Cricetulus griseus: one gene and its partners. The protein of the gene in region 5 interacts with the protein of the main gene of each other region in a pairwise test. Links are inferred from orthologs where the notes say so. Each region holds a gene or a part of one and is shown on either strand. Other genes may lie near its edges. The genes, in order: Hnrnpm, Znf24, Ift43, Tal2, Lmo2, Adamtsl4 and Abi2.

Region 1 (4,108 bases), on a different chromosome or scaffold from region 5:
ACCAAAAAAAGAAAAAAGAAAAAAGAAAAAGCAGCTGGTGAGAAGGTTCAGTAGACATTGTGCTTACCTTATAAGCATTAAGACCCAGGTTTAATTCCTAATCAAAAAGTAGTGAGGAGGTACCCCTCCATTTTTTTTTTTGGGGGGGGGGGTTCAGAGACAGGGTTTCTCTATGGCTTTGGAGGCTGCCCTGGAACTGGCTCTTGCAGACCAGGCTGGTCTCGAACTCACAGAGATGCGCCTGCCTCTGCTTCCCGAGTGCTGGGATTAAAGGCATGCATCACCACCGCCTGGCCTCCATTCTTTTAAAGAAGAATTTTGTAACATACATAACAACAACAAAAACCCAACAAAACCAAAACTATTTTCACCCACACTACAAAACTGCTGCCACATTTCTCAAGTATCCTCCATTAACCCAGACCACTCAGGTTCTTTCCAACAAAGGCTATTTCACCTCTGAAGCTTCCTATGCATATACTGGTTGTCAAATGACCCAGTCACAAGATTTCTAGTTGAAAATGGACAGTGGAAAATTTGGAAATTGTATCACTATACTGTGTTCTATAACAAATTCAACCTTTCACCTAGAAAGGTTCAAGCAGCACTTCATCCTATAACTTTTCTTAAAGTCCTTCAAATAAATTTGGCCCTCAGAGAATCCTACAAGGTGAGCCTGAAGTGGTAGTGTATAACTTTTGATTTCGAGAAACTGGGTGGCAGCTGGGGCATCTTGTTCCAAATTCAAGGCCACCAAGGTCTACACTGTAGACTCTTTAGGCTAGCCAGGTATCTATCTCAAAGCAAACATTGGGGGAAGAGAAAGGGAATTGGACCCAACAAGGCATCTCTAAAACAAAGGCTGAAAAAAGTGAACATGAGACTGACTGGAGGTGTAGCTCACAGAGTATTATCTAGATCTCAAGACCCTAGGTTCCCAGGGGGGTGGACAGGGAAGTAAAAATGAGCACACTCAAAGGCTGAGACTTTCCATAGTAAAGTGTTGGGAACAACCAAAGGGAGGATTCTCTCTCTCTCTTTCAGTGCTGTGGAGTGGAATCCAGGGCCTTGTGAATCCTGGGCAAATACTCCTAAAGGGCTATAATATTACACGTTCATACATTTTTGTTCTGTTTGTTTTCTGCAGGCACTCATGTCGCCTGGGCAAATCTTGAACTTGCTATGTAGCCAAAACCGGAGAACTCAACCTCCCAAATGCTGAAATCACAGACATGAACCAGTTAACCAATGGTGTTTTACTTCTCCCTAAGATTAAAAAAAAGATCTGTAATTTCCTCCTGTAACAAAGTAGCCAATATTTAGCAAATGCTTTATCAACTAATGTTGCAATAAGTTCATTCCCCAGAATCTTATAGCTTCCAGTCTTACTCAGCGATATAAAGCGCTGGTCTTAGAACCAAAATGTTTCTCCATACCTCTCTCAAGTAATGGTAAATCAGTATGAGCAGAGTTCCACAGGGACGTCCCCCCCCCCCCGAAGAAAACCTTTTCTTTGGCCCGGGAAGGTCCGCCATGTGATGTGTTACTAGGGAACCAATCTAGTTAGTGTCAGGTCACCGATCTATCACTACGTTCCTAGCCCTCTTTTTAAGTTGAGATACGGTCTCCCCAATTTCCCACTGATTCAATGGCAACCTTGATTGAAACTCACTCTATATGGCCTAGTCACACTTTGCAACGTTGGAGCCTTTCGGGCTTCAGCCTCCTCCCCCTAAAGCTAGGGCTCACCAGGTCGAGCTAGGAAACTTAGAAAAACACGCTAAAGTCTCTGAACAGACCTCCAACATGATTTCGAAAATGGGATGATGAAGTCTGGCTATCCTAATTTCCGGAACCCTGAAATCCCGAAGGGATGCCTTCGCCCGCACACTTTCTACCTGTCGCTAAGGATGAAGTGTGAGTAACTAGGGAACATTTCTCCCCACTGTTACCAACTGCGCACTTGAGGAAGAAGGCAACAGAGAGAGGCGGAAGGGCTCCGGCCTAGGAGCCCGGGTCCGGGGGCCATTCTGATGGAAGAAGCCAGCACTTCCTGCGGGAGAGGTGGGTGACACCGGGGGTCTCGGAACCCCGCAACGAGGCCCGTGCCCGACACCTTCCCGGTCCCGCCGCCGTTTGCTGACGGTACACGTGAGAACCCGCGCGCGTACGCCTCCCGCCCCTAACTTGGCGGGTCTGGGAAACTGAGACAAGAACACCCCCATCGGGTTGTAATGCCGAGGGGCCGAAACCTGTGTTCACAGCCAGAGCCCAGGGAGAGGTGCAGCGAGGCTGCTCCCGCCAGCCTGCGCGCCATCGGCGCTCCCGGAGTCAAAGAGCAGGCCACGGGCCTACGGCCTCGACGACGCGCCCGGCCCGCCCGGACACTGAGGCAGCGGAGGCCGGCGCTGTCGGCAGAGGGTGACCCGTGAGGCTCTCCCGGCTTCGCCGTCGCCACCGCCTCCGCCGCCGCCGCCCCTCGGCAGGGAAAGGCCTGCGCAGACGCCGCGCCGCGCCGCTCCGCCATGGGGGAAGAGAAAGCAGCCAACACGCCTAACGGAGCTGCGAAGTAGCCCGGCCCGACTTAGAGGAGGACGGACTGACGTTACAATACTCACCCCTTCGGGCCTGGAGCTCCGTTGCCGCTCGGCACGCAGGGCGCGCCGCTCTCTTCCTCCATTTTGGGCTCTGTCGCTGCCACTTCGGCCGCCGCTTCGACCCCTGCCGCCATTTTCTCCGCGTCTGGGCTTTGTGTGAGGGAGCGAAGTGTGCAGAGCTGCGCCTGCGCACTCACGTGACCCTGCGCGACCAGTAACGCCTGCGTGTGCTGCGACCGGCTCCCGCTTCCTGCTCGCCTAGGGTCACGCCCCCTGGCCCGTCAAGCCACGCCCCCTGGCTATCAGGGCACGCCTCCCGGCGCCAGCGGGGACTGCTCCTGAGTGTAAGGACAGCCAAGTATTTCCCTTTCACACTTCTTTTTTGTTTTGTTTTTTTTTTCGTGACAGGGTTTCTCTGTGTAGCTTTGGAGCCTGTCCTGGCACTCGCTCTGGAGACCAGGCTGGCCTGGAACTCACAGTGCTGGGATTAAAGGCGTGCGCCACCACCGCCCGGCCCCTTTCACACTTGTAATGAGAGCACACATACTGACCTACTCACTCCAGCTTATTTCTTTTTTCCCCGTTTTATTCATTTTTCTTTCTTTTTTGAGACGGGGTCTCATTGTGTAGCCCTGGCTGGCTGGAAGATCCTCCAGCTCCTATCTACTAAATGCAGGAATTAAAGGTATGCACCACCACATCTGGCTATTAATTTATTTTTTTTAACAACTTCAAAAATATATATCATGTATTTTGAGTTTGCTTGGGACTGGGGAGGGGCTGCTTTTTGAGACAGGGTTTCTGTGTGTAATCCCTGTCTGTCCTGGCATTCACTCTGTAGACCAGACTGGCCTCAAATTCAAGAGATCTGCCTACCTCTGCCTCCCAAGTGCTAGAATTAAAGGCTTGTGCCACCAACGCATTTTTTTTTTTTTTTGAGACAGGGTTTCTAACCAATGCTGGCCTTGAACTCTGTGTAGCAGAATCTAGTTTTGAATGTCTGCTGAGCTGCCCACCTCCACATCCTGAGTGCTGGAATGATAGACTAGAGGAACGTGCTCTGTTTGTTCAGTGTTAGAGATGGAACCCAGGGACTCTACTAGCTTCAATCTCTGACCCTATACTGTATTTTCATCATAGTCACCTTCAGTTACCATCTTATCCCCCCTCCCACTGAACCTTCTTTCCAACAAGTTTCCCACTTCCATGTCATTGTTTTGTGACCTTCTGAGTTAGGATTGCTTACATATGCATAGGTGTGGGGTTTATTTACTTGAGCATGGACAACTGAACAGTGGCCACACCACAGAAGCAAATGACACCTCCTTTCTCCAGCAACGACTGCCAGTAGGTCCTCAGAGAGCCTATCGCCCAACCGTGATGGAATGCTAAGGGTCCTATCTTATGCCAGTAACCACCCCCGCTATAATTTCATGGGTGGCAACAGCCATGTCATGTCAAGGAGACATCAGCTTTCTTTAAATGGAAATAGGACAGAAAGAAAATGAAAG
Region 2 (4,208 bases), on a different chromosome or scaffold from region 5:
GCTGCCAATTACACTATCCATAGTGTAAAAATTTAAATGGCTAAAAAGCATAGAAACATTTCATGATAGGAAAATATGATGTATCAGTCTAGGGTCAACAGTCATTCAGCTGGCAAAGGTACCCTCGATCAAGCCTGATGACTTGAGTCTGATAACCAGCATGTACATAGGAGAGAACTTTACTTCTGCAAGGTGTTCTCTGGTCTCCACAAGTGTGGCATTGCACGTGCATGCCTACACACATACACAAAATGTAAAAATATTTTTAAAAATTGTAATGGTTTATTTTATGTGCATTGGTTTTTGCCTATAAGGGTGTCTGTGTGAGGGTGCTGGTACCCCTGGAACAAAGTTACAGACATTGGGAATGGCCATATGGGTGTTGAGAATTGAACTTGGGTCCTCTTGAAAAGCAGCCAGTGCTCTTAACTACTGAGCCATCTCTCCAGCCCCATAATATTTTTTAAATTTGTTGTTTATAAATCATTAAATTTAATCATGGTTCAGGCTATAAAGGTATCACTGATAGGGTTCAACAATTTCTGCTAAGATCTAAAACAACTTAGGATTTATTTACAACCTGGCCCTTTCCAGCGAAAGACTGTCAGTCTGTGACATATAGTAACAAAAGGCAATTAAATAGCCTAAAGAACCCATGTAAGAATCAACCTATCGAAGTGCTCTCCAAATGTTCTGAACCCTTGGGTTCTGCAAGTAAGAATGCTCGCTGTCCTTGCAGAGGACCCAGGTTTTATTCCCAGCACTACAAACACTCTTCTGACCTCCTTAGGCACCAGGAAGACACGTGGTATACACATACATAAAATAAGAAACTAAATATTCAGAACTGTGGGACTCAAAACTTTGACATTTATTTTGTGTTTATACATCTCCGCACAGGTGTGGGAGTCAGAGGACAAGATGCAGAAACTTGTTCCCTCCTCCTGCTTTGTGGAATCTGGGATCCAATACAGGTTGTCAGGCTTGGAGCAAGCCCCCTACCTAATGAGCTACCTAGCCCGCCCAACTTTTCATTTTGTTTTTGCAAGTCTGGAGTAGGAACCAGGTAAACTGCCTCCCCACCCCTGGGGTTAGAGACTGTATTCAAGGCCAATGCACACTCACGGGCATACACACACACACACACACACACACACACACACACACACACACACACACCACGCACGCACGCACGCACGCACGCGTGCGCGCACTGCTTTGAAGTTAAAAAAACAAAACTGAGGTGTTTAGGAACTTCCTAAACAAAATAAATGTGAAAAATGTTCACTAGTAGCTGGGTATGGTGTCCTAAACCTGTAATCCCAGTACCTAGGTAGAATAAGACTATCCTCATCTACATAGCAAAAACAACTGGGCTGTTAGATCTTGTCACAGATTCACTTTGACACAGTTCACATAACGCTGGAGAAGAAACTATTGCACATAACATGCAAATGTTATTTAGGCATCCACCACCATACATGCATTTAAACTTACTGTGACAGTTAATCAACTGCAGCAAATTCTATTAGGAAAAAGCACTCACAACTTCTCATAATGGCCCAGAGTCTTTTTCCTTAAGTAGCTTCCCCTAGCTTTTCCTTTGGGGAAATCTGTGAGCTACTTTCTGATCCTTTTAGTATTTGCAAAATCATACTGGTGCCATGGTTCACAGCACATTAAGAATAATAAGCTTAGCTAGGCGGTGATGGCACATGCCTTTAACCCCAGCACTTGGAAGGCAAAAGGCAAGCGGATCTCTGAGTTCGAAGCCAGCCTGGTCTACAGAGCCAGTACCAGGGCAGACAGGACTACACAGAGAAACCCTGTCTGGAAAAACAAAACAAAACAAATGAACGGAACAATACGCTTTACAGCTACTGTTTATTTATCAGAGCCAAGAATATTAAAAACACACACACACACAAAACACAGAAACTTAAGAAAATCTTATTGAAACCTGTCAAGAGGAAGACAATCAAAAAATACTGTATCAAACAGACAGACCATATAGATCCATAAATATTCTTGAGTGGGATGATGGCCTGCTAGCAAAATCCAGGTTATTTATTCCTATTCCTGGACCAGACCCTATCAACGGCTCAAGCATTTCTACGTAATAGAAATTGCTTTTTCTTCTATTTTGTACTGCACCAGGCTCATGAGACGAGGAGAAACGCCGTCAAGCACTTGGCGGGATCCTGGTCTTCAACGACCTCCCGCCTCACAGCGCCGAGCCCAGCCAGCCCCAGTAATCCCCGCTGATGTCCTCTTCCCAGCATCCACCGCGAAGGGCCGCAGAGGCCCCAGAACACCCGTCTCCACACAGGACGGGCACTTCCGCCCTAGACCGGCGGGACTACAAATCCCAGAAGGCCGTGCGCGAGAACCACGGATCCCACCTCGGTTTAAGCGACTCCCAGAACGCTCCGCGAGCGGACAGAGCCTCGAAATAGAACAAAACCGGTCGGTGGGGGAGGGGAGGACATATCGGCGAGGACGCGGGCGCGAGAGGCTCGGCGGACTCCCGAAGCGCGGCAGGCCGCCGTCGCCGCCCTTCCGCCGCGGCCTTCTCCGCGCACGCCCGAGACGCCGAACGACGCCGGGCCCTCGGCCGCCGCGCCCCGACCCGCGCCCCCTCCTCGAACCCTGCCCCCGCACGCCGCTGACCTCCGTCTCGGGACCCACCGCAGCCTCGCCGTCCCGGGCAGACGCTGCACCGTCGCTTACAGCCTCTTCCCACAAGCCCCCGGCGCGCACGGCTTCCGGTCCGCAGGACGGGGGGCGGGGGTGGGGGGCAGGCGAAGCCCCGAGTTGCCATGGGGACGCGCGGCAAGCGGGGGAGGTGCGGCTTGATGACAATGGCCGTATTGAAGCCGAGCTTGGCCTTGCGCCTCTGCCAGAGTGGGCGCTGAGCTCTGTTCCACTTCACAAAAAAGGAAAGGGGAGTTAGAGGAAGGTAGTTGGCAGTTTCACGAGTGTCCCGTGCTCCCCGTAGGAACCCTCTGGAGTAACTAACGAAAGTGAACATTTCTGAAAGCCTGTCACAGTCGTGCTAGGCACACACAGCCTCTGTGCTCTGCGTATAAATAATTCCCTTTACCCCCACATCCTATAGTGCAGGAACTTGTAGTCCCGCTTCAGGGCCGACATCTCATTATAAGTAGGAAGTCAGGTTTGCACTTAAACATGGCTCAGACTGTTGCCTCCCACTAGCTGTGTTAACAAAGATTATAACAAGTCATCAAACAAGATGAGGCTAGTTGAGAACTTTGGGAATTTGCACAATCTGAGCATACTGGGTATTTCATGTCAAAAAGCAGCTGCAGTCATAATCAGTCAGACCACCTCATTCCTCTAAAGTCCTCCGGTGCATTACAACTACCGGAACTATGACACTAAAAATTTGTTAAATTGTCCTGCAGTTCGTCTATGGTCTGTTGCCTGCTTTTTCCCTCTGGCTATGTCTCCAGCTTATTGTGGAGCCTCAGCCTCACTGACCAACCCTCTTTCAGGTGGTCTCCATATGCTTAGGGGCACTCTTAGAATTGTGCTTTGAAAGTCCAGTAAAGGTGGAGTCGTCTCTGTCCTCTCTGTCCTGGTTATGACAGTACCCCCACCTAGTTTCAGGATGCCAGCTGGCATATAGAAAACTCAATAAGTACAAAGTTTTCTTTGAATAAATGAATGAATTGTGGGCTGTCGACATTGCAGCCTTTGCTAGGTCACATGTCAAGTCTCAGAAATGGCACAAAAGAGCCCTGTTTTGGAAAGTTTTGTTGGAGCATAGGTCAAGCCTTGCAAAACATTGAAAAGGTCCTCAAGCTTTGCCTTATTGTCTCATTCAGGAAAGGGTCTCTGCAAGTGTCCAGAGCCTCTGTTGGGTCAGTGAATGAGCAGTAAACAAGCAGCTGACCAAACAGCAAGCCATTTCATTCCAGCCAGAGCTCACCTTCCCATAACCCCTGCTAACTCCTTTCTTCACTGGGAGGCTTTATCCAGCATTTCACTGTCCCATTTGGCCTCACCCAGGCTCCAGCTTGGCTACTCTCTTTTGTGACTCCTAAGAGCTCTTCACCCCTCCTCCGTCTTTCCTATGAGAAGTCCATCGGGCTCTTCCAGGATTTGTAGAAGGCATGTTGATGACTCCTTTAACTTTGCAATCATTTTGCCTGGCAATACCCCAGGGCTATAAGGCTTAATCCCAA
Region 3 (3,500 bases), on a different chromosome or scaffold from region 5:
ACTGGACAGAATGGAAGAAATGCTCACAGAATAAAGCCATTTATTGAATTGGAGTGATCCAATGTGGTCTACTGAAAATAAATATTTTATTACAAAATATTCAGTATAAAAATTCTAAGCTGCTTGCAAGCTCTCTTGGTTTTAGACTTCTTCCATTTATTCAAATACACAGTGACGATGCTGGGTCATGTATACCTGGATGGTCCCACAGGGTCTTCCTTCTCTGCCCGCAGCAGGTCCCACTCCGTGAGGAGCTCTGATGACACCTCAGTGTACAGATGGTCCCAGTCCCAGCCCACATCATCCTGCCAAAATGAAGACTACTAGGTAAGAGAAAGAAAAGCCTTCCCTCCAGTCAGTGGCCAACTTCCCACCCTATCCAGGTCCAGGAAGGCACAGGCTATGTTGGGGGCTCCCTGGATGGAGGAACATTGAGGCTCAGGGCAGGAATGAGTACTGTACCTCTCGAACTTCATGCTCTGGCGCCAGCACTTTGGTGAGGAGCTTCAGGTCAATTTCTCCATCCTGCAAATGTACAAGAAGCCAGGCTGGACCCTTGGGGGCTTCAGCATCACTTTTACAACTAAGGAGAGGAGCTTGCGTGTGACAGAACTCCCCAAAATAAGACCCTAGAAAAACCTTGATCAAAACACAAATCCCCCAAGTGAATGGTATGGCCCCTGAGAAAGGAGGGGTGGCTGTGGCATCGTCCTCCACACTGGCCTCACTGGGGAAAAGCAACACCAAGAGGACAGAGCATTCCACATGGGCAGATAGCAACGGGGTGGCCGCCAGGTGGCCATGGTGTGCCAAGAGTGTGGCCAGAGAGCAGCTGGGAGTCTGGGACAGGAATCTATGGCCCATGGAGGGTCCAGGTATGCTGTGAGATGGCCAAGGATGTCACCTCCAGCATTTCTAGGCAGCCTTGGGATGTGGAGAAAGTGTGTGTATCTCTAGAAGAACTGAGGACTTTCACCCTTGGAGGTCCCCTGGAGCTGGCCCCTCTGGGCAGCAGTGAGTCCACTCACCAAAGTCTGAAAGGCTGAGTACTTCATGAGGTCATTGTCCAGGTCACGGTAGGTCATCACTCTGTTTACCTGGATGCTGAAGGAAAGGGAGTGAAAGAGCCACAGGCAGTATCGGTTCTAGGAGAGCTCCTGGGTTACCATCTCTAGAACCTTGTGTGCAGACAAAATGCCCTAGTAGAGTTTGAAGAACAGAATGGAACCCCTTGCCAGAAAGACCAGCAAGGCCCGCTGCAGATGGCGTTTGGAGTGTGTCAATGTATATGCCCTGGGCTTCCTCACCAACTTCACACTTAGCTTTACCTACCTTGGAGGGGACGCCACCTGCAGCACGAAATCTTCCTCCTGCACATCTTCCAGATCCGGGATCACTGGAATATCTGCAAGGAGAGGTGGAGCTGTTTACTGTCCACAACGTGAACAGGGCTCCTGTCTATTGCCCACTGACTGCTTAGTCAGCTTCAACACGCCAGGCCTGCCACTGTAGGCTGTGGTTTCACAGATACCCAGACAGAGTCAAACATGGAGCTCTATCCATTGCTGAGCCACAGGCCTTATCCCAGGATGCATGGAAGGAGCACTTCCTGATGGACTCTGGTACCTGTGTTTCACCTTGAGTTACATACAGTGACTCGGATGTAGTCACTAGGGAAGGGGTGTTGGGATGGATCTCCACGGAGAAATGTAAAGAATGAGAAGAAAAGCTCAGCCCCTGGAGGGGGTAGATGAGAGTGGAGCCAGGGGCGTGGGCACAGTCAGGGACAGAAAGGACGACACGCAGGTCACAAGCAGAAGTGACACACATTCGGGATCTACACATGTGCTAGCTCCAGAGAGCAGCTGTCCCGGGCAGGATCCCAGCTGCTTGCCTCTGGAGGACACTTAACTCCAGTCACAGAACCTGACTCCTGACTCCTGACACCATCAGAGATCAGGGTTGCCATTTTCCAGGCCTACTGTGACACTGGCTTTTTCTTGCAATTTTTGGGAGTTCTCTCTCTTAACTCTCCAGATATATTACACACACACACACACACACACACACACACACACACACACACACACAATGTGCAGAGATATAAAACCACTCCTCCTGCCAGTCTAGCAATGTCACACAAACAGGAGAACCAAGGGACAGGCCTGTCACTCCATTAGGGCGACCTGCTTAAGTTGCCAAAAAAGTATCCATAGAGATAGACACTTTTCCTCCAGAAGACTTCTATTGGCTTGATTAGGGGTTTTGTTTCACTCAATCAGGGCAAAGAAAAAAAAATGGTGGGGCAGAAAGAGAGGCTATGTGGGGTGAGGCAGTCTTGGGACTCTAAACCAACTGCAGATAGACGACAAAGAAAAACATCCCAGAGGGAAGGCTTGGGCTTCCATGGGCTAGATGCAGTTTTAAAGTCCCCGAACAGCTGGGGAGACTCCTGCCACTTCCAGCCTATTCATTATTTAGACATTGTGACTGCTCTAGTCAAGCTAAGCCAGAGTACATAAATGTCTTTATTACTACTTCCAACTGCAGACTTACAGACTCACTGTGCCCAGAAATGGAGAGTGAGCAAAGGACAGGGGAGACTCAGAAAAGAAGACAGGGTACCTGGGAAGAGGGCTAAAAATAAGAAGAACGTGCTAACAGGAATTGAACAAGAGACATTCAGCAAGCCCTGTATCTAAAGGGGGCCCTTCTGAGCTTGGAGTCTATCTCCCTGTCCTGTTACAAGCATAAGACTCGGAATCCCTAAGATTTCATTCCTATAATGAAGAGAAATGTAGCTTTCTTTTTCCCCTGTCCCCACAATCAGTACAGCATGCAGGTGGGGCTCCCTGGCTACAAGGCTGCACAGTCCGGCAGAGGGACGGAGAAGCTGGCTGTGTCCTGTGCCATCCACAGAGTGACAGTTTTCGAGCCAGCCAGTCAGTGCTCGCTCACTGTTGGCTCTCCTCAGCTGTGGAGTCCAGCCTGAGATGAATATTCAGGAGTTACTGAGAAATGGCCCACGCTGAGTAGGGGCTCAGGACGGGGTCTTCCCCAAGTCCCCTTTCCCTTCACAACTCCAGCATTTGGACCGTCAACTCAGCCCAGCCTCCTCAAGCTCGGAGGAATTGCACTTCTGCTCAGCGCTCACTGTCACTCCCCCTGGGCTCTCCTGGTGGGCCCCACTTCCCTCCTCCAAATGTGCACCAGGGAGTGTGGGGCCTGCCCATCTGTGACAGATCAGAGGTCAGCACAGGCCTTGGCAAAAGGCTGCTCAGAGTGGCACTGGTGGGGCTGGCCACACAGTGGGACTTCTCTCTAATTGGAAGCCTGGTGCCCAGTAGAACCCGGTGAACCGCCTGAGTGAGACAGAGCCAGCGATGACAGCCAGGCCAAGACAAGCTGGAACATTCCAGTGCAGTGACAGCTTGAGCTATTGCAGCAGAGGCAGGCCATCCAATTCCCCACTCCCAGTGGAACAGGTGGCCGTGGAGCAG
Region 4 (3,866 bases), on a different chromosome or scaffold from region 5:
TTCTAAAGATTTCCATTACTGTCCAAAGCAGATCAAATGCTCACTTCAGTTTAAAGAACAGAGAAACATAGTCAGAAAATTTGGTTTAACTCTTCTCTTAGACTCAAATGGCCCCTAAACAAATGTAACATCCAGTGGACTGTAACACATTTGAACTATGAAGTCTTATTGCTAGGACCACCAAAGAAAACCACACAGGGAGTTTTGAATTAGTTTCCAATCTCACACATATCACGACTAGGTTTGGGACCACACGTGATTACAGCTGTTTATTGTTTCTTTTTGGTTTGGTTTTGTTTTTTTGACAGTCCTGTTAATTTAATTCAACTTGATACAGAAAATTAAAGCGGGGGTGGGGGTGTGTGGTGCACACCTTTAGTCCCAGCACTTGGGTGGCAGAGGCAGGTGAATCTTCAGAGCAAGTTCCAGGACAGGCTCCAAAGCTACACAGAGAAATCCTGTCTCGAAAAAAGAAAGAAAGAAAGAGAGAGAGAGAGAGAGAGAGAGAGAGAGAGAGAGAGAGAGAGAAAGAAAGAAAGAAAGAATTGAAGGAAGAAAGGAAGGAAGCTAAAGCTGAATAAATACTTTAAGGAGTACATTACATATAATAACATTGTAAAGGTTGGTTCATCTGTGAAAGGATTTCCTCTAGGCTGTCTTTAAATAACTTTCCCCCTCACTCACATCTTTTTGGGGTCCCTGTAGCATTTCAGTGGGCAGCCTTCTTTGAGCACACACAAAAGCACCAGGAAAGGGAGTGTGTACAGTATAAAGCACAAAAATTTTGCTTTTAGGAACAGAGGGCCTCTGCTTTCTTCATATTCGAGTAAGCTAAGTAAAAGTAAAGTCACTGTCAAACGTACTTTATTTAATGCCAGATGAGAGGGCAGTATTACTTAATTGACAACAGCCATAAAAACTTTGAAACATCTCACTGCCTGGTAATTTGGAGATAAGCTTGACTCTCCCCAAGGTGGTGACAAAGGCATACATATCTGGAGTGGAAGGAAGGGCTCCACCAGCCTCTGTGGTTCCCTGTCTCTATACTGTTTCTGTGCAGAAATTAATCAAGTGCAGGCTAAGCAAAGGACATAGGGGGAAGCCTGTTGTGCTAAAAGTGCATTGGTTAAATCGACCTTAATGATGTAGTTACTTATAAATACCTTCCAGAGAGACAAAACGTTTAAATTCCTGTGTTGTATAGATACTGGAAATTCATAACCACAATCCGTAGATTTCCCACCTGTGACTCAGAAGATCATAAAGCCAAAAAAATTCTGGGAAATATAATGTCCTAGAGATAGACACCTGCATGTGGGGCGCAGCCAATGGATTCTTCTTTGAATCCAAGTCCATGAGGACCAGAATGGTGTGTGGTGGTGACAGAGCATCCATACTGCTCTACTGATTTACTGGGTGCTGGCTGCCCTGCCCCTGCTTATGACCAGGCTAATGCTCCCTGGGAGGTAGGAAGGTGGAGTTAAATGCACTAGTTCATTAGCATCTATCTGGTCCTTTATTTCTATTGTTTGCTCTCAACAAAATATTAAATGGCAACATTTGGGCTTTCATAATTATTGAATTATACAGGACCTAAGTCAGCAGGAATTTGAATTAACAGTTCAGTACCCAGTAAGTCACACTAAGTAGTTTGCTCACTCATTTTAGCTAATTTTTATAAGAAAACTATGAAGTCTAACTCCTAAATCATCAAGGTTTTTCCTCGAATGAATGAAATCCACTATTTGGTTCCAGCGGCTCAACTGAAGTAAAATAGCATGATTCTGTAGAGGCCTAAGGACATGGAATCTTCCCACATACATAATCCTCCCAGCTCTGCTCCAAAGGGACATCCCTCCAGAGACGGCCGCACACCGCTGCCAGGCTGGTTTCCACAGCGGCTATCTTTCTATCCATCAATTTTAAGATTTCTTGTATTTACCCTCAATCAAACATGTCTCCTTTTTCAAAGCAAAAGTATTTTCAGAGGGCAACAGCTTTGCCCATCCATCTGAGATCCAGTATAAGGAAATCCTCGTTACTGAAGTCGTGAGTGAGATGGCCGTTTTAAACATATGCTTGTTTGCTTTTTTTGCTATGGACTTCTGCAGACTTATAGAACAGAGAGCAGCTAGCTGTTCTGCCTGAGGTTCTGGGGTAATGAGGCCAGGGCAACATTGCTCAAGTCTCCTTGCAGCTCTCAGCTTCTGTCCCCATCACTTCCTGCGTCACACCTCTTTACAGAATGAAACCACAGGACTTTTCAACTTGTACCGTCCTGGGGGCTGACAGTCACAGCCACCCTAGGGAGCCTCATGGCTTGGGCCGGGGGAAGAAACTCCACAGTCATTGAGTAAAGTTCTTTCATCAACATCTGGCAGGTGGGGCCCTTGGGGAAAGAGCCCCAGAATGTTTCCCTGAGCAGCCACTCCTGTTTGCTGTAGGCTTTGCTCTCCCAAGACCTTGACCAAGAAGTTGATATACCTCATTGCCAAACGGAGCGTTTCATTCTTGCTCAGCTTCTTGTCTGGAGGGTGAGTGGGGATGAGCTTCCGCAGCTTGGCAAAGGCACTGTTGACACTCTGCTGCCTCCAGCGCTCCCTGGTATTTGTGAAGATCTTTCTGGTCATGTCCAGGTTCCTAAGATGGGAGAGAAAAGGGGCTGTGGTGGCCGAGACCTTGTAAGAGGTCCAGTTACAATCACGTGTTCTGCCAAGTTCTGCAGTGTTAGATCTTCTCAACTCAGACCTTAGGAAATCCATTTTGAGTTTTTTAGAAATGTCTCTTTTAAGAAAAAAAAAAAAGGATGGCAGAAGAAAGTGCAAAAGAAAAACAGGTCCCTGTAGCCTCCCCTAGCCTGTTTTGAAGCCACCATTATGAAACTATATTTAGTCCCTCCCCTGCTGCTCCCACCTCTCCTTTTGAGGCTGAATCTCATGCATTCCAGGCGGGCTTCAAACTTACTGTGCAGCAAAGGATGACCTTGAACTTCTGATCCTCTTACCTTCACCTCCTGAATGCTAGGATTTCAGGCTTGTGCCACCATTTTTCGTTTAAGCATGCTGGGGATTGAACCCAGGGCTTTATGTTTGTCATGTAGCACCAACTAAGTAACATCTCCAACTCCACTACTTCCTTTATAACCTATCCTTCCCAGTAGATCAAAAATCACTTACAGTATGGAATTAATACATGTGTGAATAAAGTATATATTTAGCCCAGGAAGTGTTGAGTGTGAATGTGCAGTGTGTCACGAGCTTTTAAGAGAGAAAAGGCTGCATCCCCAGTTTTCATCAATAAAAGGACATTTGAATAGGAGAAAATGTGACAGCTATCCTTGTTTTAACTGACCTTAGCTGGAGGGTTGGGCTCCAATCTCCAATAGCTAGAATGTTCACACAGTAGCTCATAAGACTGTGAGCAGGGTGATAAAGGGCTGTGACACCCAGATTTAGGAAAACAGACATGGGAGGGGTGTGCAGCCTGATAAGAATGAAAAGAACGGGGGCAGGTGCTCTGTGGCTTGGATCCACAGCAAATACCAGGGCTTCTTGGCACTCCCATAGCTCACCTTTTCCACATTAGGAAAGCTGTCATGAAATCTCATTTTGCCATCTTTAACTCTTGGAGGCACAGTCCCCCGTTTTTTTCCCAAGTGGTCTGGATTAGTGCATTTTAATGGGAACCTTCATGATACAGTGGCAAATAAGCAAAAGCCTGGCCCTAGGCAGCCTGGTCTTCCCAGCTCACTGCTGTCACTTGCTGCTGGCTCCAGCCTCAGCTTCCCAGGGCACTTAACCCCTCTGCATCCTCCAAACAGTGATGCTATTGTTAACCCACTCTACCTTTTCATTCCTGCTGTTTCC
Region 5 (4,128 bases):
TCTAGAAGGTGAGTGAGTAGCAACAGAAAAAGACATGATGGTCGGAGAGCAGATAAGGGCAGGACAAGATCCCAACTCCATCTGTCTTTCCATAATTAACGATGATGTGACATTATCTCTGGTGAACAATGTAAGTGAAAGACTGAATGAGATTCACCTTAAGTTAATATTTGACTTTCTTCCACCAGCCTATCCTAAATATCAGAGTACCTCTATAGCTTTGATTTCCAGAAAAATTTCTCAACAATTTCCTAGGAAGTGGGGGGGAAATGTTCTGTTTCCACCTGGCTTGTCCATCTTCAATGACAGCCTGCCTTCACTGGGCACATATTGCAGACTATCAGTGGGCCTCTTGCTCACTATTACAGCCTTGAGATACCTTTCTGTTCTCTAGTCTCAAGGGGGGTAAAAAGGCACAAACTTTGGAAAGAAAACTTACTTTCCAAAGGGTGTTTTCTGCTCTTTCAGAGAACCCAAGTTAGAGTCTGCACCCAAAATGGGTAGCTCACAACCACCTGTAACTCCAGCTCTAGGGGATCCAGCAACTCTGGCCTGCAAGGGGTCGGGGGGGGGGGGCGCAGCACCTGCACATAGGTGCACACACACACACATGTGCACATACTTAACAATAAAATCCTTTTTAAAAAAAAAAAAAGGAGTTGAACTCTGTAGATTCAACTTCTAATAAGGGATGAGCGGCTTGGCTGTGCAGATAGGAAATCAGTAAACACCAGTTTGTCTGTCTGACTCTCTTACGTTGAGTATCATGTCTTGTCCAATCTCTGAAAACTCAGAGCTCAGAGGTAATGCTAAGTTTATTTTTAAAAGAGAACAAACTATAGACACCGACTTGCTTTTTAAAGGGTTGTTATTTTTCTCCTGAGATTTTGAGGAAGCTGGTCTTTATGTCAACAAACCTAGCTCCTTTCGGAGCTGGTGTCTTAACCTTCAAGACTGAAGAGTGATGTTTATATTCTCGCTGGATCGTGGGACTTCCTGTGTTTTATGAGAACATGCTGGGTTTTTATGCTGCTGACTGAGGGTAAAACCCAGGTAAATAAACACCACAGAAGGCTGAAATTGAAGGTGGGGGGGGGTGAGTAGGGAAACTTCAGCAGGAAGGCACAATTCTTTTAAAGCAGGAAAAGGAAAAAAAAAAGCCACCAAAACAAATGCTGCTTACAAGCACAAATGGACAAGTCATTAGCCAGCTCCTTTGGTCTTGTGTTAACAAAACCCTTCAAAGGATTAGATGGAGACTTCAAAGGAATAAAAACGCAAAACCAGACAGCTAATGACTCTTAAAAGGGCATTTGCGTGGACGCGAAAAACGATACCTTAAGCATTCCTGGCTCCCCTTATTAAGGCTAGAGAATGGGCTGAGGTATGGACAGGAATGGGGGATGTTCTTTGCAAACCAGCGCAAAGCTCAGAGCATAGACAGTGCAAGTTTATTACAGCTCTGGTTCGCTGACCCCAAACCCTTCTGGGAGTTCGATTGGATTCTGCTCCCCCCGGGGGGGGACCTAGACAAAAAACAAAACAAAACAAAACAAGCCCCCCAGCAAAACACACACACACACACACACACACACACACACACACACACACACACACAGCACTAACTTTCGAGGTTCGCATGCCCACACTAGAAGACTCGTGGGAGGGGCGAATATGTACCCGGAGGAACTCGGAATTAGCTATTCTAGAAGTCTCTGGAGGCCTGAACCAGTTCCCAGGTGGACAGGCGGACCCCATCAGTGCCCGCAGTCGCTCTGCCCCGGGCTGGGTAGAAGACTGTCTGGGACCCCAAAGGGGAGTGTCTCCCCTTTTCAGGGCCAAATGGACAAAGAGAAAGGGAACCCGGTGGAGCGAGAAGGGAGGAGGGAGAATCCTTCCATCCACTCTCCCTGCACATCACCTGCGCCTCCGGGCTCCAGGTGCCTGCTCCTGGGCAAACTTTCTGGCGCCGGTGAAGGTTTGGAGTGTTTTCCAGGTAGCCTGGAGCGGCTCGCAGGGTCGCCGGGCCGATCCCTGGTACTGCTTCCGCCACCCAGTCCTTCTCGGTGTCTCCAGAGTCACCCGAGAAGCAGGGAGAGCCCCTGAGACACCGAGGGACCAAGGGCACGCTGCGGGAGCGGACCTGAAGCCAGCCCCTCGCTCCAAGCCTGGAACCGGGTGGGGTGGGGGAGGTGGGGGCGCGGGGACAGAAGCGCCACACTTACTCAGACGGGTCCAGGCTCTTCCTTTCGATGGCCGAGGACATTGGGGAGGGAGGCGGCGTGCCGGGTGGCGGGGGCGCTCCCTTTGTGGCGCGTGCCTGACCGGCTGCCTGGACTCGGACCCCCTCGGGTGCTCGGGCGCCGCCGCTCCTGCGCCTCCTCTTGCTCGGTCGCTCCGCCGGCGAGCTCGCCCCTCCACGCTCAAGGACAGTCACCGCGCTCCCTTCAAACGCCAAAGAGAGAGAGCGAATCAGCCGGCTGCCCGGCGCGCGGCGGCCGAGGTAGGGGGCCGGGGAGCAGCCCGGCCTCCCTCTGGCGGCTGCGGCAGCTGCCGCTGCCCAGGACTTAACCTTCCATCCCGGTCCGCTGCCGTCACCACAGCCGCCGCCGCCGCCCGGTCCCGATCGCGCGCAGTCGCAGGCTCCGCCCGGTCGCCCCGAGCCCCTCACACCTTCGTCGGGGTCGGGGCGCCGAGGGCAGAGAGGGGGCGGCGGCCTGGGGGCGGGGAGCGGACCGCGCGGCTGTCCCCGGGCTCCCTCCTCTCTCGCGAAGGTCTATTTTCGCTCAGCTTCCCTCTGTCTCTGGTTTCATTTCCTTTTTCCTGATCACGATTCAAATACAATAGAAGGAAATCACATTTAAAGAGACAGCTGCCCGCCCCCTCCCCTTTTTTTCTTCCTTTTTTTTTTTTTTTTTTTTTTAAACGGGGCTCCTGGGGATTAGCAATCCAAACAGCAGCAGCAGTAGCAGCAGCAGCAACAGCAGCAGCAGCACTGACTTAGCTTCTTAAAGGGGCCCGCGTCGGAGAGTCTCCCCTGAGTACCTCTCCAGGGGCAAGAAGCCGGGCTGCCACTAATTCGTCCTTTCCAGGGTTCCCCTTCTTCTGCCTTTCCCTTTTGGCTTCCCGCGGGAAAGAAAATACAAGAATGTGAAATAAGCACCTGCAGAAATGTAAGCGTTCCTAGTGGCTGGCTCTCGCGCGCTCGTCTTAGGTTCTAGGTCCCAGGTCCACTGTCGCGGTGCTCTGGGATGCCCGGGACAGCAGCGCGGCTCTATTGGCGGCTAGCTAGCGGCTGCGACTGCGCTCCAAACAGGGGATGCGAGCTGTGCGATCAGGCACCTCACGCGCCGGGTGCGCCTGAGCAGTACTGGGGGCAGCTAATCCCGCGGGGAGGGTGGCTGGGAGGGACCACACTGTCCGGGTCTCCTCTCCATCTGCTGGCCACAGAATTCCCTCCCTCAGCATCTTTCAAAGAGCGGACTCCAGCGGTTAGGCTTGCCCTCTCTGTAAAGTGCCAGCAATACTCGGAAGTGCCTTCCCAATAATCAAGGACCTTACAGTTATTACTTGCTTTTTTTTTTTTTGCCCTATGTAAATCAAAGAAAAGGACAGGCTTGATCTAGGGTTCAGTCTTCTCCTTCAAGCTCGAAAGCAAGTTCTATAAGGAGAAAGAAATGCAAAAGGGAAGAAGAGGACACTAGCTAGCTACTTTTCCAGGGAGAAAAACCGTGGCTTCCCCTGGGCCTTGACTTATTTGAAACTGGCTTCAGAAATGATCGTTCAAGGCTCGTTAGTTTACGATGATGCCAGTCTTGAGGCTTGTAAAAAGGAAACTCCCAAGTGCTTTCACAATCCATTGTTTTATCAAGGTCACAGGCATTTCAAACCCATTATAAAGATTCTTTTGTAGCCTAGATCAACTCACCCTGGAATATGCCTGCTGAAGCCAGAAGTGAATTCCTGGATGCTTAATGTCCAAATCCACATTGATTTCTCACTAGTAATAACCTGACTCACAACATACAGATTCATGTCACTTTCTGTCTCCATGTCCTGAAATTTGTGAACTGAAAGAGGATAATTAAAATCTGTGTCTGTATGCATGCCCTTGTGTTGGTCCAAAAC
Region 6 (3,500 bases), on a different chromosome or scaffold from region 5:
AGCGCACCCCCTGCCCTGCTTGACAAGTGAGATGTTCTGTGAGCTCCTCCAAGCATAGCCATGTCTGGTGGGATCCTTCCTACAACACACCCCTTGCTGGACAGCAAGAACCTTCCCTTTGGCCACCTCAGTCTGGTGTTTTCACTGTTGTAATAATGAATTAAAGGAGGGTGTGTGTGTGCGTGCCCATGTGCAAACCAACACCCTGCCCTCCTCACCAGCACCCTGCCCTCCTCACCAGCACCCTGCCCTCCTCACCAGCACCCTGCCCTCCCTCACCAGCACCCTGCCCTCCTCACCAGCACCCTGCCCCGCTCACCAGCACCCTGCCCTCCTCACCAGCACCCTGCCCTCCTCACCAGCACCCTGCCCTCCTCACCAGCGTCCTGCCCTCCTCACCAGCACCCTGCCCCTCTCACCAGCGTCCTGCCCCTCTCACCAGTGTCCTACCCCCTCACCAGCACCCTGCCCTCCTCACCAGCACCCTGCCCTCCTCACCAGCACCCTGCCCTCCTCACCAGCACCCTGCCCTCCCTCACCAGCACCCTGCCCTCCTCACCAGCACCCTGCCCTCCTCACCAGCATCCTGCCCTCCTCACCAGCACCCTGTCCCCCTTCACCAGCACCCTGCCCTCCCTCACCAGCGTCCTGCCCCTCTCACCAGTGTCCTACCCCCCTCACCAGCACCCTGCACCCCCCTCACCAGGCAGCGTCCTGCCACACAAATGTCTAGGGATCCAGGCTGACACAAGGTCCCATCCTGGACCTTTTCGGTGTGATGGACATAGAATCGGAAGCCCCGGGGGCGGCAGTTCAGTTCACAGCGCTGGGAACCCTGAACTAAGGGATGAGATATAGGATAGTTAGCTGGGGTCCCTGAAGGAGGAAGCCCTGGCAGCATTCTGCCTTTATGGCATGTGGAGCACCCTGAAACTGCTGTGGAGGAAGAGGCTGGGAGGGGGGGTGTTCCCACGCTTAGGGTTTTTATTATGCTGTGTGGTCTCAAACTTATGAATTTTACTGATTCTCTCACCTTATTTTCCTAAAAGGGGGAAGTTCTGCACTTGGCCATCAAGAAGGTTTGTTTTTTTGTTTTTTGACTGTGTGTGTATGTGTGTTTTTTTTTGTTGTTGTTGTTGTTTGTTCCTTGTTTGTTTTTTGGTGGTGTTGTTGTCTTATTTTAAGTGTGTACAGGAATGGTCAGTCATGTATGAGTCAGAGAACATCTTGCAGGTGTAGGTTCTCTCCTTCCATGATAGGTCTGGAGACCAAACTTGGGTCATTAGGCTTGAGGCAATCTCCTTTTGCCCACTGAGCCATCCTGCCTTTCCTTAAAAGGGTTCTTGACACCTGTGATTATGAGTTCATAACCCATGAAGGTTTGTCTTGGTGTCAAGCTGACATGGACCCAAGTCCAAGTGGACAGTAACTTGGGAGCAACTGTTATGATACCATAAAGATAGTAGCTCTCTGTTGGAACCAGTGAACCAGTCATGTTCACACCCGCTCCCGGATCACAGCCAAAGGGCACCTCTAGACAGCCCCCTCTCCCAGCCCGTCTCCTGTCCTGACCACCCACCCATCATTTTCTGAAAGCTTTTCTCCTTCTCTAGGCTGCTTTGTCTCTGATGTGTCCTGAGAATTAGGACACAGGAGGAAAAGAGGGGCCACCCAAACTTGAGTCAACCCTGCCAGGGGGACTAGAAACTGCACCTTCAGTGAAGGGCTCCCACTGGTACAGCTGGCCCATGAATTCCTGGGAGTCAAAGGCTGCACATTGCAGGGCCCTGGGGTCTGGCTGCTCAGGAGGGCAAGGCTGAGGAGTCAGATACACAGACATCAGCGCTGGAGAGGAAACGTGGGGTGCAGGCCAGGGCTGGACTGGGGCTTGGGGACATCTCCACAGACCAAGGCTCCTGCCCTGAAGTTAGATAGACCCACCACCTTTAGCACAAGCTGAGGACTCAGGCTGGGGACCCAGAGATCTCACCTCCTGGCTGCAGGCTCTCAGCTGCTCATTTTCCCCAGAACATTTTGGAACAGGGCTACTGGGAGCAAAAAGGCTCCAGAGGGGGCTGGAATCTCTTGTCAGAGGCAGCCAGCCATCTGGGGACCTGTGAAAACTCCCTCGAGGTCTCCCGTGTCCCCTGCTCTGCTGGCCTCTACTCCGGGGGACAGAAGGGAAAGGATGAGGGTGCCGCTCTGTTCCCTGGGGACTGTTCCAACCCTGGGAAGTAGGCATTCGTGGCCCAGGGGATCCCTGGAAAGACCTACTGTCTCCAAAGAAGGACATGGGTGAAGGAATCCCTGTGTCAGAGGGAGCAGGACTGCTTCTGGGGGGCACCTCTATCTGAGTGCTTCCTGTCCTTGGGGTTTCCGCTTCGGGGGAGCGGGAGGGGGCATGCAGTTCAGGCAGCTGCATTTGAGAGCTGTGGTTTGCAGAAGCCAGTTCTGTGCTTGGAGGCTGGGATGGAAGGGCCTCTGCCCATGTAGAAGAGTTCTTGGGTTGCTCGGGTCTGCTGGGATGCCTGCGGCTCCGGTGCAGTGGCAAGGCAAAAGGCACTCTCCCATAGCCAAACATCCCTGGCTTGATAGGGTCTCGACCCCGGGACCTGAGAGGATGGTGCTGACTCAGAGTCGACTTTTAGCCTGTCTTCCCCAGTCCATGTCCTAGAAGGTCAGCCTGCAGAGGCGAAGCCCCCGTGCCCCTCCCTGTTCGGCTCTGCCCTCAGGGCCTCACCTCTGGGCCCCTGGAGTCTCCTGGGTCTTTTCTCTCCCCAGATGAGAAGCAGGACCTTGAAGAGGGCCACCCCTTCCCCGAGGCTGTGGCCTGTGCAGGGACTGGGGACCCCGGGAAACCTGGGGTCTAGAGCTCTGACCCCGGGGCCGGAGGGCTTCTGGATGTCTTGGGGGTCGGGGAGGGAGGGGTAGGCCTGGGCGCAGTTCACATGTTCGGCTCCTGCGCTGCACTCCCACCCCACAGGGCTGGGAGCAGGAGGCCCACCGGCCCCAATGTCCCCAGAGGCCCTCAGGGGCCTGGCCCTCCTCTGCTGGTGTCTGAAGAGAAGGTCCAAAGAGCTACATAGGAGAAAAGGTTAGAATTAGTGTCGAGGTTCAAGGGTTGTTAGTTGTCCAAGGTCACATGTACCGGTAGGGCTGGACTCCAGCCTTGTGTGTGTGTGTGTGTGTGTGTGTGTCTGTGCGCGCGCGCGCGCGTGTGTATGTTCTTTGACTAAAAGAGAGGAAATTGGCAAGGGAGATGGGTGGGCCAAGCCTGGTACACAGGGCTGAAGTCTCCCGTGGGAATGTGAAGCCTCCCGATAGGGCAGGCTAGGGTAGAGTGGAGGGACCCTGAGCAGGGTAGCAGCCGATCACTTAGCTAGGGCTCACCTCCTGATTCCGGCAGAGCTGAAGAAGAGGCAGAAACAGCATTACACATAACCAGAGCCTGCACACCAAGGGGGTGGGGGACTTTAGAGGGAGCCAGAAGTGTTACAACA
Region 7 (3,500 bases), on a different chromosome or scaffold from region 5:
ACTTGAACATGTAAAAACAACTCAAAATTAACTGACAGTTCAGCACAGTGATACACACCTGTAACCCCAGTATGAGGTACAAGTAACAAAAGTTAGAAGCCAACCTGGGCTAACCTGGTAAGGCTGCTTCCAATAATGCTGATGATGATGGAAGAAAGTGCAGCGATACAAATAATTTGGAAAAATAATCCTCTTCCTGGGGATTCCAAAAAAAAAGTCCACTTGTTTTTTATTTTTGTGTCATATAATTTGTGAAAAGCAAGTTCAATAGTAACAGATAGACATAAAATTTTACCATATCAAAATCATATTTTCAAAATCATAAGCCCTATAAACTGACTGAATAACTAAAATGGAACAGATAATACAAATAAAGCTTTACCAGCAAGTCTCATTTCTATTTACAGATGTCTTCTCATCCCTCCAGACGACCTCATGACACTTACCCTTTTCCAAGTAAGACCTTGGAGCCCATGGTGGGTCCTCTTCAGCATAAGGATCACTGTACTCAACCACAGCTGCTTCCTCCTCTTCATAATCCTCTGGAGGTGGCGGTGGAGGCGGGGATTCATCAAAGACTGGCTCTTCCACAGGTGGTGGTGGAGGTGGTGTATCTGAAACTAAGAGTTTATCAAGCTGACAAACTATATAGTATGTAGAGTTCAATATTTATCTGAGCTTCCTGATTCATTAAATATAAACCCAGACTCAAAAATAATCATCTTTCAAAAACTGAATGCTAAGAGGAATTTTCCCACCATTATGTTTTCAATTGCCAAGCAAGACTTCTCCCTCCCTTTTGGGTTAAGTGTTGATGGATGTTGAGTGCGGTTTAGTCCAAAACTTTACTGTTAATTGGCCTCCAGAACCTTTCAGTAATAACACATAAGCCCTATAAATACTGATTATCTTTCTAAAGAAATGAGTACAATATAGTTGGGTTTCATTATCAAAGAATTATCAGAGATATTAATAACTTGAGTAATCACAATCACATAAGAAAGTAAAATGATGGGGACTGGAAGATGGCTCAGGGGTTAAGAGTACTGGCTGTTCTTCCATAGGTCCTGAGTTCAGTTCTCAGCAATCATGTAGTAGCTCACAACCACCTACAGTGAGATCTTGTGCCCTCTTCTGGCCTGCAGGAATACATGCAGACAGAACACTGTATACATAGTAAATAGACAAATCTTTAAGGAAAAACTAAAATGAGTCAAAGAAATAGTCAAATTTTTACAATCTGCTACTTTAGTCTCAGTTTTCTGTATATTTACTCAGACAAGTTCGCATTATATAACCCAAACTAGCCTCAAACTCACAACCTTCCTCCTCAACCCCAAGTGCTAGGATTATCAGGATTCACCACAACACCAGCCTGATTTTCATTAAACAGAGTTACATCAAACTGGGGTAACTTCAGTCATTACAATGTTTGTTTGCTTGTGGAATTTGAACTAATTCAGGTTTAGTCATTATTTAAATTTCTTGAGACTATATGTCCATATGTATTATTAGAATCAGTCTCATCGTATTGTAACATGTAAAAAAATCGTCTCCAAACCCAGAGAACTCAAAGCTGTCAAAATGCTTGGTAAATACTTGAACACAACAAAGCAAAAATAAATTTGCACTGACCTCAGTTTTAATCATCAGGACTCACTCTTACAGAATTGTGCGCATGAAATAAACTCTGAGCAGTCAGGGCACCAACACTGTGCTCTGCTACTTCAAGCATTGCTGTCTTAGAATTTTTTTAGTTTTGTTTGTTTGTCTTCTTAAAAATGTAACACAAATCCATGTTCTTACTATATTCTTTATTCAAATTTAATGTTTTTCATCGAACGGGGTGAAAGCAATAGTGAAACCTGTGTTCATATGAAGAGACTGAGAGCACAGAAATAGATACAAGGGATTTTCAGGAAAATCAGAGAAATTACACTATAAATTACTCAAAATTCCAACCCTGATCATTTCTGCCTTCCTTATAACTGCCTCAGAGCCAGACTGTTTTTACTTGTGCAGTATATCAGTTATCCAGCTGGTACTTTAAAATACATTCTTTTAGTTCATCTTTCCCTAAGACAACTCATTTTTACTTTTTTGTGACTATAGGGCTCAATCAAGATCCTTACACATTCTACACAAACCCTCCAAACTATACCCCCAAGCCACGGTCTTGTTTTTAAACTTAGTTTTATGGATGTGAAAAGAAGATAAATGTTCCTATAGCAACAGACAGAAGAGCACCCGAGCACTCCCCTCTGCGCATTACCTTAGAAGCCACACTATACTAGAAGATAAAAGTTGTAGCTCTTAAGGAATACTTCATCACCACTAAGTAAATAACACCCAAGAGCCTCATGTGGCTAGGACCTAGTTCCTGCACTGAGAAGAGTGTGGTGGGCAAATGTCACCAACAATATGGTGGGCAAGTGTCAGCAACATGCAACCAACCAAATTTTGATATAATTAAGTAGAGTGAAACTTTAAGAAATTATAGAAGCGTACGTCATAGACCAAATTCTTTATGTGGACCAGAAAAGGCTTCCTGAGACCTGATGAATGAGTCAAGTTAATGGCTGGGAGGTAGTAGGGCATGAGGAATAGACGTTCAGGTTGGTTGTAAAGAATAAAAATGCTTTTTCGAAGTACAGAGATAAAGCAGGAAGGAAATTTTCAAAGAATCATCCAAAGTTGGGCAGGCAGAGGAAGCCTAAAGGTCTCGGGACAAAAGGGTTTGCTAAGTTTGGGCTCTACTCAATGAGTAACAAGGGGCCACATGAGAATTAAAAATAATAATAACAGGGGTATAATTGTGCATTTTATCACAGTGTAAGTGGTTTAATAAAGTAAATAATAAATATTCCAAGTGATTCCAGACTCTTCCACATATTAAATTTAATGCAAAAAAAATTAGTTCCATAGACTATCTCTAAACTAATGCCTAGAAAGCCGTAAGATGAATCTAAAACAAAGATACACATCTTCCAAGGTGCATGTTTTGAAGAAAATAACATTCCTTTGAATGTATAAGCCTTGCTACAACTGCTAAGCTAGTCCTAGCATACCTCACACACAGGGAGAAAGGAGGAACTGAAGGAAAGAGACTCAACAATCAGTTATGATAGGAGCCAAATTAGGAGAGGTTTTAACATAGTAACAGTGCTGCTATGACAATGTTTTACAATTGTCCACATAACCAAAGTTCTGAACACCTCTGTGATCCAAGTACTTAAATAACTTAAATTAAAACACTACTTCTACCCATGAAATATTTTTTGATGTTTCTACAAACCTCACAGCTTTCACTAATTACTGGTAAAAAACTAATGACTAATTCCGTAATTATATTCAACTTTGAAGTCCAACTTTTGAAGAAAATATTCTAATAGTCTTCAAGGTCAGTTTCAAAATCTGAATGCTCACTGTGTCTGATTTAAAAAACAAAAAAACAAACAAACAAACAAAAAACTTCCCCACTTACTATCCAACTGTCTTCT

Evidence for each region.
Region 1: the proteins of Lmo2 (region 5) and Hnrnpm interact in binary tests that used the Homo sapiens proteins (3 or more experiments, as listed by UniProt). The link is inferred for Cricetulus griseus from reciprocal best matches to the Homo sapiens genes LMO2 and HNRNPM.
Region 2: the proteins of Lmo2 (region 5) and Znf24 interact in binary tests that used the Homo sapiens proteins (3 or more experiments, as listed by UniProt). The two-hybrid records come from large-scale screens. The link is inferred for Cricetulus griseus from reciprocal best matches to the Homo sapiens genes LMO2 and ZNF24.
Region 3: the proteins of Lmo2 (region 5) and Ift43 interact in binary tests that used the Homo sapiens proteins (3 or more experiments, as listed by UniProt). The two-hybrid records come from large-scale screens. The link is inferred for Cricetulus griseus from reciprocal best matches to the Homo sapiens genes LMO2 and IFT43.
Region 4: the proteins of Lmo2 (region 5) and Tal2 interact in a two-hybrid assay, tested with the Homo sapiens proteins (2 studies listed by BioGRID and IntAct). The link is inferred for Cricetulus griseus from reciprocal best matches to the Homo sapiens genes LMO2 and TAL2.
Region 6: the proteins of Lmo2 (region 5) and Adamtsl4 interact in binary tests that used the Homo sapiens proteins (3 or more experiments, as listed by UniProt). The two-hybrid records come from large-scale screens. The link is inferred for Cricetulus griseus from reciprocal best matches to the Homo sapiens genes LMO2 and ADAMTSL4.
Region 7: the proteins of Lmo2 (region 5) and Abi2 interact in binary tests that used the Homo sapiens proteins (3 or more experiments, as listed by UniProt). The link is inferred for Cricetulus griseus from reciprocal best matches to the Homo sapiens genes LMO2 and ABI2.

The regions. Positions count from the first base shown.
Region 1 is NC_048598.1:95,278,598-95,282,705, reverse strand, and holds the start of Hnrnpm (heterogeneous nuclear ribonucleoprotein M), read right to left. Parts: upstream 2,801-4,108; 5' UTR 2,732-2,800; coding exon 2,619-2,731; intron 1-2,618. UniProt on the Homo sapiens protein: Pre-mRNA binding protein in vivo, binds avidly to poly(G) and poly(U) RNA homopolymers in vitro. Involved in splicing.
Region 2 is NC_048595.1:213,152,838-213,157,045, reverse strand, and holds the start of Znf24 (zinc finger protein 24), read right to left. Parts: upstream 2,801-4,208; 5' UTR 2,671-2,800; intron 2,538-2,670; exon of another isoform or gene 2,403-2,537; intron 2,305-2,402; exon of another isoform or gene 2,155-2,304; intron 2,149-2,154; exon of another isoform or gene 2,008-2,148; intron 1-2,007. UniProt on the Homo sapiens protein: Transcription factor required for myelination of differentiated oligodendrocytes. Required for the conversion of oligodendrocytes from the premyelinating to the myelinating state.
Region 3 is NC_048598.1:117,642,464-117,645,963, forward strand, and holds the end of Ift43 (intraflagellar transport protein 43 homolog), read right to left. Parts: intron 1,406-3,500; coding exon 1,333-1,405; intron 1,105-1,332; coding exon 1,029-1,104; intron 526-1,028; coding exon 463-525; intron 306-462; coding exon 186-305; 3' UTR 24-185; downstream 1-23. UniProt on the Homo sapiens protein: As a component of IFT complex A (IFT-A), a complex required for retrograde ciliary transport and entry into cilia of G protein-coupled receptors (GPCRs), it is involved in ciliogenesis.
Region 4 is NC_048595.1:90,008,382-90,012,247, forward strand, and holds Tal2 (T-cell acute lymphocytic leukemia protein 2), read right to left. Parts: upstream 2,709-3,866; 5' UTR 2,631-2,708; coding exon 2,304-2,630; 3' UTR 501-2,303; downstream 1-500.
Region 5 is NC_048599.1:73,666,554-73,670,681, forward strand, and holds the start of Lmo2 (rhombotin-2), read right to left. Parts: upstream 2,801-4,128; 5' UTR 2,580-2,800; coding exon 2,573-2,579; intron 2,446-2,572; coding exon 2,226-2,445; intron 1-2,225. UniProt on the Homo sapiens protein: Acts with TAL1/SCL to regulate red blood cell development. Also acts with LDB1 to maintain erythroid precursors in an immature state.
Region 6 is NW_023276806.1:60,821,259-60,824,758, reverse strand, and holds part of Adamtsl4 (ADAMTS-like protein 4), read right to left. Parts: intron 3,449-3,500; coding exon 3,391-3,448; intron 3,079-3,390; coding exon 2,741-3,078; intron 2,613-2,740; coding exon 1,991-2,612; intron 1,817-1,990; coding exon 1,714-1,816; intron 841-1,713; coding exon 704-840; intron 1-703. UniProt on the Homo sapiens protein: Positive regulation of apoptosis. May facilitate FBN1 microfibril biogenesis.
Region 7 is NC_048595.1:414,707,313-414,710,812, reverse strand, and holds part of Abi2 (abl interactor 2), read right to left. Parts: intron 621-3,500; coding exon 447-620; intron 1-446. UniProt on the Homo sapiens protein: Regulator of actin cytoskeleton dynamics underlying cell motility and adhesion. Functions as a component of the WAVE complex, which activates actin nucleating machinery Arp2/3 to drive lamellipodia formation.